2 linked regions of the Drosophila melanogaster genome follow. The protein of the gene in region 1 purifies or fractionates together with the protein of each later gene. This does not show direct contact. Each region holds a gene or a part of one and is shown on either strand. Other genes may lie near its edges.

Region 1 (6,094 bases):
ACGCAGTCATCGGTATTGTATTTCAATGCTAAAGGCATTAAAATATATACATAAATATAATAAATACATATATTCATGGGAAATCAATTAAAACAATGCTAGTACCTATGAGCTAAATTCATGACGTGCTTAAAGTTTCTCCTTTATTTGATGTCCAAGCACTGGTTGTTGTTTTTTTTTGCAGTGCATCAGTGTCGCCTCCGCTTGTCACTGCCAGGCTAAAGAATAAAAATAAATAAATAAAAACAAGAATTTTGCCGTGATTTTGCATTTCTGGGCAGGACTTCAACCCAAATATAAAATATACTGTCTCGCTGTGGGAACTAAGTCACTGGGTCCACCTTAAAAGAGCGTAAAGAAAACTACACACACACACACATCCGCATGTACACACGCACACGCACACGCACACACATGCATGCGCTTTACGGCCATAAATTAAACATGCCGCCCGCAAAAGTATGCTATGGATTTGAACTCGGATTGCGAATGCGCTGAGGCGTGCGAATGCCAAAGTTACCAGAAAAAAGAGCTGGCGAAAACTTTCACTCCAGAGTCGTGGCTGGCATGGTGGGCATACCTCATACTCTATTTTCCATTTTCCACTTTCCATTTGTTTGTCTGTAGTCGCAGCAGCAGCAGCAGCAGCAGCAGCCGCAGCCGCAGCAGCACAACTTGAAAACTACTTTGGCCAAGACAAAGTGGCTCAGAAGCACGCATACGCATGACCAGAAGTTGGCCAAACTGGGATATGTCGATGGGCCTGTACATAACTGGTCCACCCTCGGCTTGATTATAAATTTCAACTTAATTACTAAAACAGAATTTAATCCTTTCGAAGTGTGTCGCCGACTTGCCCATTATGTATGTACATACATATGTATGTATGTATGTATGTACAAGCATGCCTGATGAAATGGGTATGCGGTTGCAAACTACAAAGGATGCCTCACAACTTATGGCCAAGCAAACTATCCGCTCGCTCCGCTATCACCGACACAGTTAGCAACAACAATCGCCCGAGGCAATTGTGCGGCGTGGTGCACAGTGGGGCAAAACTGACAGCACTTGGCACACATTTTGGATAGTGTCTTCTCACTGAAGTGTAATATACGTGCATTTCTTGTAAAGTTGATAATGATGATAATATTCATAATAATGATACAACGTACATATTTATATCGTTTAGAACAAACATATAATTATATCCACTGCATTATTATTCTTATTGAGCAGCTATATAGCATACCATTCTGAAATTTATTCAATTTTCAACAAATTACAGAGCACAAGGTAAATAAATTTTGATATTAATATTTTTATATTTCCATAAATATATGTATACATATGTACATACATTGCGTACTTTACAATTGAGAATCTTAAGTCGAGTGTGGCACATTTGGCTATATTTTTGTTATGTTTATGCAGGAAAACCAATGGCCACATATACACGCACACACATACGCCCACCTGACATTCTTGTATGTGTATGCTTTCACCCCCTAAGCACACACACAAACAAACGCACACTGGGCACATACATACATACATACATACATACATGACTAAACCAATTTCCACAGAGCATTTTAAATTTCAAGCACACATGAAACGGACGAAGAAAGGCGAGTGGCAAGCCGTAGGCCGCCCCCTCCCACATTCACACACAGATGTGTGGGCAGCAACTTAACTTACAATAAAGGACATTGCCCAGCCTCCTGCCACCCACCACCCGCCTCCCCACCCCGCAACGGTATGTAAAGTGCGTAAGTTGTGTCCAAGGGTTTGGAATACGAGGATTGGGACCCTGGGCTTGGGTTCATTTGGGGGTTTTCTGCACTATTTTACATACGTAATGCGAACTTCATGGATGCAGAGCTCATAAGCGCCAACGGCCAAGGCTTTTGGAAATTAGCGTGGCTGCCAAATCAGGAACCGGCTTAAGGAGCACCAGGATTCCGGGATTGGGGTGCTATGGAGTGGAGTGGGTCGGTGTGTGGTGTGGTGTGTGGTGTGTGCTTGTATCCCCGGGCGGCTTGGTGGCAATCAACTGGGAATAGAGCCAGAGCACTCCTTTAGCCCAAGCGAACATGAAACGATTTAAAAAGTTATGTTTTATGTGTTCTTGTTGCCAAAGTAAACTGTAAACTGAATATGTTGATAAAATACAATAGATATGCTTTCAAAAATACTCGTAATATCATATTTATTCTGGTGAAACAAATAAGTTCTCAACAAAGGAAGGTTCCAGGTGTCCCAACCGGATTTGCTCCGAAAGAGACTGTGCCTCACAGGTCTTCGCCCAACTGGGCCGTCCTGCTCGGTATTTCGTCCGGGATGTTGAACGTGTGGCGGATCTCCTCGGGAGTCTTTCCCCTAATCATATTGGCCACCGTCTTGCAACAGAGATCCACTAGGCCCTTGATCTCCAGATAGTTGGCGGCCAGTATGATTTCGAACAAGGTGGGTTGATCGACGTTAATAAAGTTGGCGTCCCAGGCTGAGATGTCATGTGGGCTTTGCGGGCTCAACTCCACGCCCTCCGCTCCATGGGCATCATCGTCCTTGTGGTGATAGATCCAGGTCAGAATCTTGGATAGGATGAACGCGTTCACCTTGGGCAGCGGCACAATGGCATTCTCGTCGTTCTCCACGGCAGAGACCTCCAACATGGTCTTGATGGTTTCGGAGAGCTTGGCGGCTCGGACTTCCGTTGAAAAGATCATCCCATCCGAGGACTCAAGCTTGATGGTGGGAGCATCCATTTTCGGTTTGCCTTGCCTTTCTATTTGCCAAACTACGTTCAAAGAGATTCAGAAGAACAAGATGGGATGATTGATAGAGCACGTGCCAACTGGACGATTCGAAAGTTCAAAGAAAAAAGAATAGAGAACAGAGTGACCAGATGTGATCACTGCGGAATCACTGTCGTCAAGTGTGTACACACTAGAAATTGGAAGTCTTAACATTAAGAACTGTAGATTCGCTTTAGCTTTTTTATTGAGAATCGCGAATCGTGTTTTATTTATCATATCAGACCTTAAAAGTGTAATAAAAAAAAGTGTAATATGAATTTTAAAACCTATATGAATGTTGGGTAAGTGCTCAATCAAAAAATTTCAAAATAATAGTTCCGGAAAGAACCCCGTAAAAAATATTTTTAACAGAGGGAACTGGAAAATAGCACGTGGGCTTACATTACTTGCTCTAATTTTTCAAAAAAACTTTAAATTAAATATATATTTTTTCATTTGAAAAACAGACGGACAGAAGGCACTTTCTACCTGTTACATACTCATTAGCGATTCTAACATTCCCTTTTACTGTATTATTATTGTTTTATGAAACACTCCAATTATGTGTAACTTGCTTTCCATAAAATATATACACTTAACAGAATCAAAATTTTCAGTTACCGTAAAACTGTATTTTGAACCGAGTTCCAAAATAATATATTAATATTAAATCCAAGATACAAAGAAGAATTTCGATTTGCTAGCTTTAGTACTTAATTACGTACTTAATACGAGGATGAGGATGCAATTCGGCCAAAAAAGTGTCCGTTTTGGATAGCAAAAACAAAGTGCGAAAATACCATTATTCGAGTGAGTTTTCCTAGCCGCCAAACGGAACGCGATTTAAGTTTTTTTTTTTGTGTGCCAGTTGACGCAAAGGCTCTAACCTATTAGGCGGTCAGCAAAAAAATGAACTCGAGTCATGCCGTCTTGTGGAGCACCCTTTTCGAGCCGTCCCGGGGATCACCCCTTCCCATCGATTGACAGCAGCCGCACATAAACCAAAACCCTAAGATTTGTATTTAATTTAAATGCTTAAAAGATATATTAATTAAAAAAAGTGAGCATGTGGACAAGAATAATTTTAGGGTTAGAAGACATGAATACAGAGGGAGAAGTTTCTGCTGAAGTAAACATATTGATAAATTCTATCGGACCTAAACCTATACTTGCGTGAAAGATATCAAACTGCGAATGTACACTGAGAGAAATTTTCTGAATAATTATATCCGCAAATATTTGAATTATTCGCAATAATTCCTTTAAATGTGAACCCAAGGAGGAGACTTATTTTATATTACTTTTGTATTTTTAATTTTTATTTAATTTGCCACGCCCACAAACCGCACAAAACTGCCACGCCCACACTTTCGAAAAACGTGTTGATATTATTTCAAATTTTTATTAGTCTCGTAAATTTCTATTGATAAAAACAAAAATTTTGCCACACCCACTCGAACGCCCTAAAACCGCCCAACCGGTCACGCCCACACTTTGGAATAATTTTTTAAAATTTTTATAATTTTTTTTTATATCTATCGATTTTTCTGAGTAACGGGTATCTGATAGTCGGGGAACTCGACTATAGCATTCTCTCTTGTTTTTCCCAAAGTTGAACAAATTCTATACAGATTAACGCGACAAATGAATACACTGAGAACAATTGCTTGAACCCTAATTATATTGCTAGACTATAAGCTATTAAATATTAATTAAAATCTAACCGACCTTACCCGCAACCCACTCACTTACATTTAATTTTTACTGATTAAAGAAACTGATTTGAAAAAAAAGTAATAATTTATAAAACAAGAATATCGTGAAGAACAACAACACTGAAAAAAAAAACTGAAATATGGAAAAACTTAAATAAATAATTTATTCTTTTTTTTTTAGATTATATTTAGTCATCTTAACGTCTATTTAATTATAGTTTTTTTTCTTAACTTACATAAGTCATTATCTATCACCTTACTCTGAGCAAATTAAATTTATTTCAATTTGTTATGTACTTATTATTGGTTCCTATAAATATTGTTATTAATCATTAGTCAGCAAATGATAGAAATGAATATGTAAAAATTAAAATACTGAACTCGGCTGATGTTTCTCCGGACATAGGGCACATAAGGGGCCACTAGAGCCATTGCTCTCAAGGAAAGCTAGGTCATAGGTACACCTATTGTTTCATGCTTTCATTCTCTTCTTGAACTATCTTCGTTCGAATATATTAATTTGCTTCCTCCGATTTTGTATACTAACTCCTATATTCTTTTGTCGCAAGCATAGACCACCACCCCACAACGCCAAAGAGCTAGAGCCGGATTCTGAAGCGTGCATCCGCCAGTACAGGTTCCCTTGCCTTCCATCAATTCTTTTCGTTACACGTAACCAGTCTGAACCAAACATCCAAATGATCTTATATGCATATTTCATAAAAATAGTTTATACTATACATATATCCACACTTTCATTATTTAATTGATTTTAAATACATCGTTTTGTATATATTAAAATTATTACCTTTTAGAGTCTAAAACGTGGAAGACTACAGCACAGTACAGATCAACTCTCATTCTAAATTGATTAAAGGTAATTATCTTTGATACCAATTATCGGTCCGAATAGCCACTGGGATTGTAATCTAACCTTATTTATTTATCATAGTCCATAACATGCCACCTTTCTAAGGTAACACAAAATGTACTTGTTCCAACACTGGTATATATATATATATATATTATATAATATTAGTATATTTATCTAGGCGAAACAAAAAAGTTCTCAACAAAGTAAGGTTCCGGTGAAGTTTCCTCTTCTTCTCTGTGCCTCACAGGTCTTCGCCCAACTCGGCCGTATCGATCGGTAAATCGTCTTCGATGTTGAACGTCTGGCGGATCTCCTCGGGAGTCTTTCCCCTAATCATATTGGCCAACGTCTTGCAACAGAGATCCTCTAGGCCCTTAATCTCCAGATAGTTGGCGGCCACTGTAATTTCGAACAAGATGGGTTGATCGACGTTAATAAAGTTGGCGTCCCAGGGTGAGATGTCATGTGGGCTTTGCGGGGTCAACTCCTCGCCCTCCGCTGCCTGGTCATCATCGTCCTTGTGGTGATAGGCCCAGGTCAGAATCTTGTTTAGGATGAACGCGTTCACCTTGGGCAGCGGCACAACGGCATTCTCGTCGTTCTCCACGGCAGAGACCTCCAACATGGTCTTGATGGTTTCGGAGAGCTTGGCGGCTTTGACTTCCGTTGAAAAGATCACCCCATCCGAGGACTCAAGCTTGATGGTG
Region 2 (5,959 bases), on another chromosome or scaffold:
CGATGATGATGATATTTTCTGATATTGTTCATTACATTGTTGTGCTTTTACGACTGTTATCCTTGAGTGAAGAACTTGCTACAGGATGCTAACACGGGCACACACACACACACTCTCGCACGCTCAAGCAGGCACCCACACGCTCACAAGCACACGCATGTGCGACAGGAGAGAGCTTTTACGGCACTTTTGGCCTAAACCGTTAGTTTCCGCCAGCAAAAAGAGAGAGAAAGAGCGAGCAGAATTTTCACCTTCGCACTTTCAACTTTATTTTTTATTTAACTTTTTAACTTTTATATATCAAATGCATTTGTTATGATTTTATTTAATAAATTTTCTTTTGTGTGTATGGACACAAAACACGACTTTGGCTCACACCGTTCACTTTGAAACCACTCATTCGAAATCACTTCGCTGCAGGAATTTCTCGCAGTGTTTTGGCCTGGGCCGATTATGAATATGTTTTTCAATTTTTAAATATTTACAGTCGCGCCTCCAGCGAACACAGCACACACGGTATGTCGTTCCGTCACCCGTTGGATTAGAACTGAATCTGAATGCCAGCGAAATGCTAACAAGTTCGTTCGAGAGCACGGCCAAAATTTCCACCGAGCTTTTCCTCGGCGTGGGTGGCGCAAGAGAGACGAAAGAGAGAGTGTAGCGGATTAAGAGAGAAAGCCCACACTGCGTGGCATTTAAATAAGAGCACCAAAAACCGTACACCTAATATTGAAAAATAAAGAGATAATAACTCAACTTATTCAAAATTTACTTTTCAAGTTGACAATGTTTTATCTTTACGGACATACATTATATTTCGGCTGAACTTCTTCGCAAATAAAAGAACTTTCAAAGTTGCAATTCCGATCGTTCATTCCTGGCGATTTTGTCGGTCTAAAATCACTTCCCAGTTCATCGCAATGCTCCTCATTATTTTTGTTATTTGGTTCTCCCCCGTACCACAAATCCGTTGACAAGGGCTGTCCATTGGAAAACCAAACATGTTTTCCCTTGGTTCCCAAATCCGTTCCGGAGGTCCAATATCTCTCGAAAATGTTATTAGCTAAAAGGTATTCGCTTACCAGGCGCAATTCGTCGAAAGTTTCAAGAGAGATTAATTCCGCTTGTTGTTGTCGACAAATTTCGTAGGCACCAAACCAATTTTTTTGAAGTTTTCGTTCAATGAGATAGTAACTGTTCCCGATCCTAACAAATGTGTCATTAGTTGTCTGAAGCGCCTCAAGAGCTCCTAATTAAATAATCAAAAGTCAATTACTTTATAATATATAAAAACAAAACTCACCGGCAACATTTCTAGAAACCTCAAACAGGAATAGTGCTACCAAAAAGGTAGTAGATCCAGTCAGTTTAACAATCATTGTGGTAATGATAAAAAATCCGGAGTTAGCCGTCAAGGCTCGCTAATTTCGTTAATTTAAGATTTTATTCGCTTATCATCTCAATTACCATGGGTAATACCGTTTAAGTTTTACATTTTGTATTCTAACAGTTGAATGTATGTAATGTCTTGAACAACTATTTTTAGTCTTACAGGACTGTTTTTATTTATATTAGAGGTTTTTAAGTTATTTCTTGTTAGATTAAGGAAACTTACCACAAAAAACAAACAAAAATAACGTATTTTGTAACATTTCAAATGTATTCGATAAAATGCCATCGATATATTTCTGGTCAGGTAATAACATCGAATATCAGAAATTATGTAAAGATAACAACGTGCAGTTGGTGTAAACAAAAACAAGAAAAACGTAAACAGATCGGATTCATTACCAATCCATTTCCAGATTGAAAACCCATTAAAGACATGTCCGACGAGTACGCCTGCGTGGCCAAGGGCAAGCTTAAACTAAAGAACGATTCGGATCTCAAGAAGAAAAAGAAGAAGCACAAGGGCAAGGACAAGGAGAAGGAGCTGCAGAAGGCGTTCGTGGAGCAGCAAATAGCGGAATCGGGGGCCACATCCTCCTCCGCCACCAGTGGCTACGAGCGGAAGCTCACCAAGGCCGAGCTGGCCAGTAAGAAGCAGCAGGAAAAGATGCGCAACAAGCGAATCATGGACAAGGCACAAACCACCCACAAGGAGCGCGTGGAGAAATTCAACGAGCACCTGGACACGCTCACCGAGCACTTTGACATCCCCAAGGTGTCCTGGACGAAGTGAGGCGACGCCGCTCGTAACTTAAAGCATACATTTATTATAAGGTTAAGTAATTTCGACTACGTTTCAACCTGGAGCGCAGGAAAAGTGAGAGGGGAGGCCAAAATAAACAATCCAGATGGCACAACTAAGCTAAATACACAGGCATATGTAGTTACAACGTAAAGAGGGGTAGTTTCCAACTTTCAGTCCATTGTCCTTGGAGGGCTTTTGATCTTCTAGCGCGGTGCAATTAGCTCGTACATGGCGTACTTCCATGTCCACGCGCGCACCAGTTGCTCGAACCTTTCGCGCTCGTGCTCATAGATGTATCCAAGTTCAGGCTCCATGCAGACTTCGGTATACGGATCGGTCAGCAGGCTCTGCACAGAAAGCAGCACCTTGGCCACGTTCAGCGCCAGAGACCAGTTGTGCTGCTGGAAGATGTCGATGCCCACGTCCCCATGCCGCGAAACATTCGGATGCAGGATTTTGGTGAGGAAACGTACTGTGGGCGGCGTCATCGGATATCGCTCCGGGAAGTATATGAACAGGAAGAACTTGCCGCCTTCGTAGGGACTGCCCGGTGGCCCCAGAATTGTCGCCTGCCAGTAGTTGTTTTGCCGATCCAACGGTATGGCCGATATGCCCTCAGATTCGTAGCTGTTCAGCAGATTGGCTTCACCGCGCAGAAAGTTGTTGCGCATTACATTGCCCGGCTCCCGATCGCCCAGCTGTGGATCTGCCTCCTGTGCATCCTGACCCCGACCGCCCATCTCAATCAGGCAAGTGCGACAGAAGCAGGAAGACATCAGTGCCCCGTACAGCCGATACCAGTTTGGATTGTCTGCCAAACTGTCGAACAGCGGCCAGCGCTGCTTGATATACGCCTTCCACATGCTCTGGGCCGTGTTTTTCCCGACAATGTCGTGCCATTGCTTGCAAACTTCACTAGCCATCCACAGCGACATGTCGTCCAAATAGGCAAATATTTTCAGCATCACCTCGACGGGTATTATGTTGACAATGTTTCTGCTGCTGCCACTTGCTCCGCTTCCGCTGGCGGCGTTGTATTCATGCACTCGCGCCCTTCCATCGGCCAGCTCATGCATGTAATGGGGCAGAGCCAAGGGAGCCGTGGCCCGCGGACGCTTAATGGGCAGCAGGAAGGGATTAATGGCTCTCTCGTGCTCAAAGTCGCGCTCCGGAGACTCGCGTCGTGGTGCCGCAGCCTCCGGCACCGGCTGTGGCAGATCTATAACTGGTTGGGCTGGCTGTTGATCCTGTGGCTCCATTGGTGGCTGCGGATTTGGATGTTGTGGCACGGCTGCCGGTTGGGGGTCCTCCAGATCCTCAAAGCCCATGATGTCTACGTCGTTTTCGGTCTCCTCGTCTTCCTGCTTGTCCTTGAACGGCGGCTCGTCGTTCCCAGAATCCTCGTCATCGGAAAGCTCCGTGAGCAGCTCCTCCGCCCGCTGTGCGTTGTACAGGAAGGCGTGGCAGGCGCCGCACAACGGCTCCCCGAAGTTGGGCCCATAGTAGCCGTTGCACACCCAGCAGGTGTTACTATTCTGCAAATTGGAAAGGCTATTTATTAATCGGCCCGCAAGAAACTAGCCTATTGTATACATACCGAAAAAGAGAAGGTCGGCTCTACCAGCTGGTGGTGTTCCTGGTCCGGATCGTCCGGGTCGTCCATCTCGTCGCCACTGCTGGCCAGTTCCTTTAGCAACTGCTCCTGGTCCTTTTGCTGATGCGCTGGCACGCAGCTAGTCATTTTACAGAACTCCCGAGAAACTGGTGCTAAAACAAATAAATAATCGACAAACGATAGACCATCTAAAAGTGTTACCAAGTGGTGTTAGCTTCAAAACCTGTCAAACAGTGTTGTGGTTATCGGACTATTGGTCGGTCGATAACCGAATCAAAACAAGTGCTGCTAACTTCACACGTGCAGTTTATGTGATATTCATCAGCAAAATGAAGGCAAAAAAGAAGTTGGGTAGGTAACGTCGCTACGAAAGTAATTCTTTAAACGTCCGTTTACCCCGCCAATTATTTCAGGCGTGGGATTGAGCCGCCAGGAACGACAGGTGCTCGTCATCGGGGAGATCATTCAGGAGCTGCTGAAGGCGCACGAAGCCAAAAAGGATGTAAACCTTAATCGGATGAAATCATTGGTGGCCTCCAAATATGGACTGGACAGTTCGCCGCGCCTGGTCGACATAATTGCTGCCGTGCCGCAGGACGCCAAAAAAATTCTGCTTCCAAAGCTGAGGGCAAAGCCCATTCGCACAGCAAGTGGCGTAAGTCGCACTTGCTTACACAAGGCGTACTATTCATTTCAATTATTTCAATCCAGATCGCCGTGGTCGCCGTCATGTGCAAGCCGCATCGTTGTCCGCACATCAATATGACCGGCAATATATGCGTCTATTGTCCCGGCGGACCGGACAGCGACTTTGAGTACTCGACACAGTCGTACACAGGCTACGAGCCGACCTCGATGCGAGCCATCCGGTCGCGGTACGATCCTTTTCTTCAGACCCGACACCGCGTTGAACAGCTGAAGCAGCTGGGACACAGTGTGGACAAGGTGGAGTTCATCGTAATGGGCGGTACGTTCATGTGCCTGCCGGAGGAGTACCGCGACTACTTTATCCGCAACCTACACGACGCCCTCTCCGGCCACAGCAGCGCCAATGTGGCGGAAGCCGTACGCTACTCGGAGAAGTCACGCACAAAGTGCATTGGCATCACCATAGAAACAAGGCCAGATTACTGCCTAAAGCGGCACATATCGGATATGCTTAGCTATGGTTGCACCCGGCTGGAAATCGGTGTGCAATCGGTTTACGAAGACGTGGCCAGGGATACGAACCGCGGACACACGGTGCGAGCGGTGTGCGAGAGCTTCCAGCTGGGCAAGGATGCTGGCTATAAGATCGTGACGCACATGATGCCTGATCTTCCCAATGTTGACTTTGAACGCGACATCGAGCAGTTTATCGAGTACTTTGAGAACCCTGCCTTCCGCTCTGACGGCCTAAAGATCTATCCCACGCTCGTCATTCGCGGCACTGGTCTCTACGAGTTATGGAAAACCGGGCGATATAAGTCATATCCGCCATCCATGCTTGTGGACTTAGTGGCGAAGATTTTGGCCCTTGTACCACCATGGACGCGAGTGTACCGCGTACAGCGCGACATTCCCATGCCGCTTGTTAGGTAACTTGTCCGATATATATATTAAATAAACCTGACATTTTTCTTCATTTTAGTTCCGGCGTGGAACACGGAAATCTCCGTGAACTGGCGCTGGCCCGCATGAAGGATCTTGGAACCACTTGCCGCGATGTTAGAACCCGCGAAGTTGGCATTCAGGAAATCCACAACAAGGTGCGCCCTTACGAAATTGAGCTAATTCGTCGGGACTATGTGGCCAATGGCGGCTGGGAAACGTTCCTCTCATACGAAGATCCTGAACAGGACATTCTCGTAGGCCTTCTTAGGCTGCGAAAGTGCTCACCGGATACCTTCCGCCCGGAACTGAAGGGCGAATGCTCCATTGTGAGGGAGCTGCACGTATATGGCTCAGTCGTGCCGGTTAATGCTAGGGATCCCACCAAGTTTCAGCACCAGGGCTTCGGTATGTTGCTGATGGAGGAGGCGGAGCGAATTGCTCGAGAGGAGCACGGCAGCACAAAACTGGCGGTCATATCGGGAGTGGGCACCAGAAACTACTATCGCAAAATGGGATACCAACTTGACGGACCCTACATGTCAAAGAGCATAGAAGAA

Evidence for each region. Proteins that work in one complex are often made in the same cells at the same time.
Region 2: the proteins of SkpC (region 1) and morgue purify together in Drosophila melanogaster (affinity purification with mass spectrometry, with the first as the bait; one large-scale study listed by BioGRID). This does not show direct contact.

The regions. Positions count from the first base shown.
Region 1 is NC_004354.4:19,812,812-19,818,905, reverse strand, and holds SkpC (SKP1-related C), read right to left. Parts: upstream 2,835-6,094; 5' UTR 2,769-2,834; coding exon 2,292-2,768; 3' UTR 2,206-2,291; downstream 1-2,205. Other genes in the region: SkpD (SKP1-related D), read right to left, coding at 5,629-6,094.
Region 2 is NT_033779.5:4,440,673-4,446,631, forward strand, and holds morgue (modifier of rpr and grim, ubiquitously expressed), read right to left. Parts: upstream 4,009-5,959; 5' UTR 3,936-4,008; coding exon 3,792-3,935; intron 3,730-3,791; coding exon 2,398-3,729; 3' UTR 2,198-2,397; downstream 1-2,197. Other genes in the region: Sfp24F (seminal fluid protein 24F), read right to left, coding at 798-1,249, 1,304-1,379; CG15432 (uncharacterized protein), read left to right, coding at 1,826-2,182; Elp3 (elongator complex protein 3), read left to right, coding at 4,139-4,160, 4,223-4,464, 4,521-5,386, 5,440-5,959.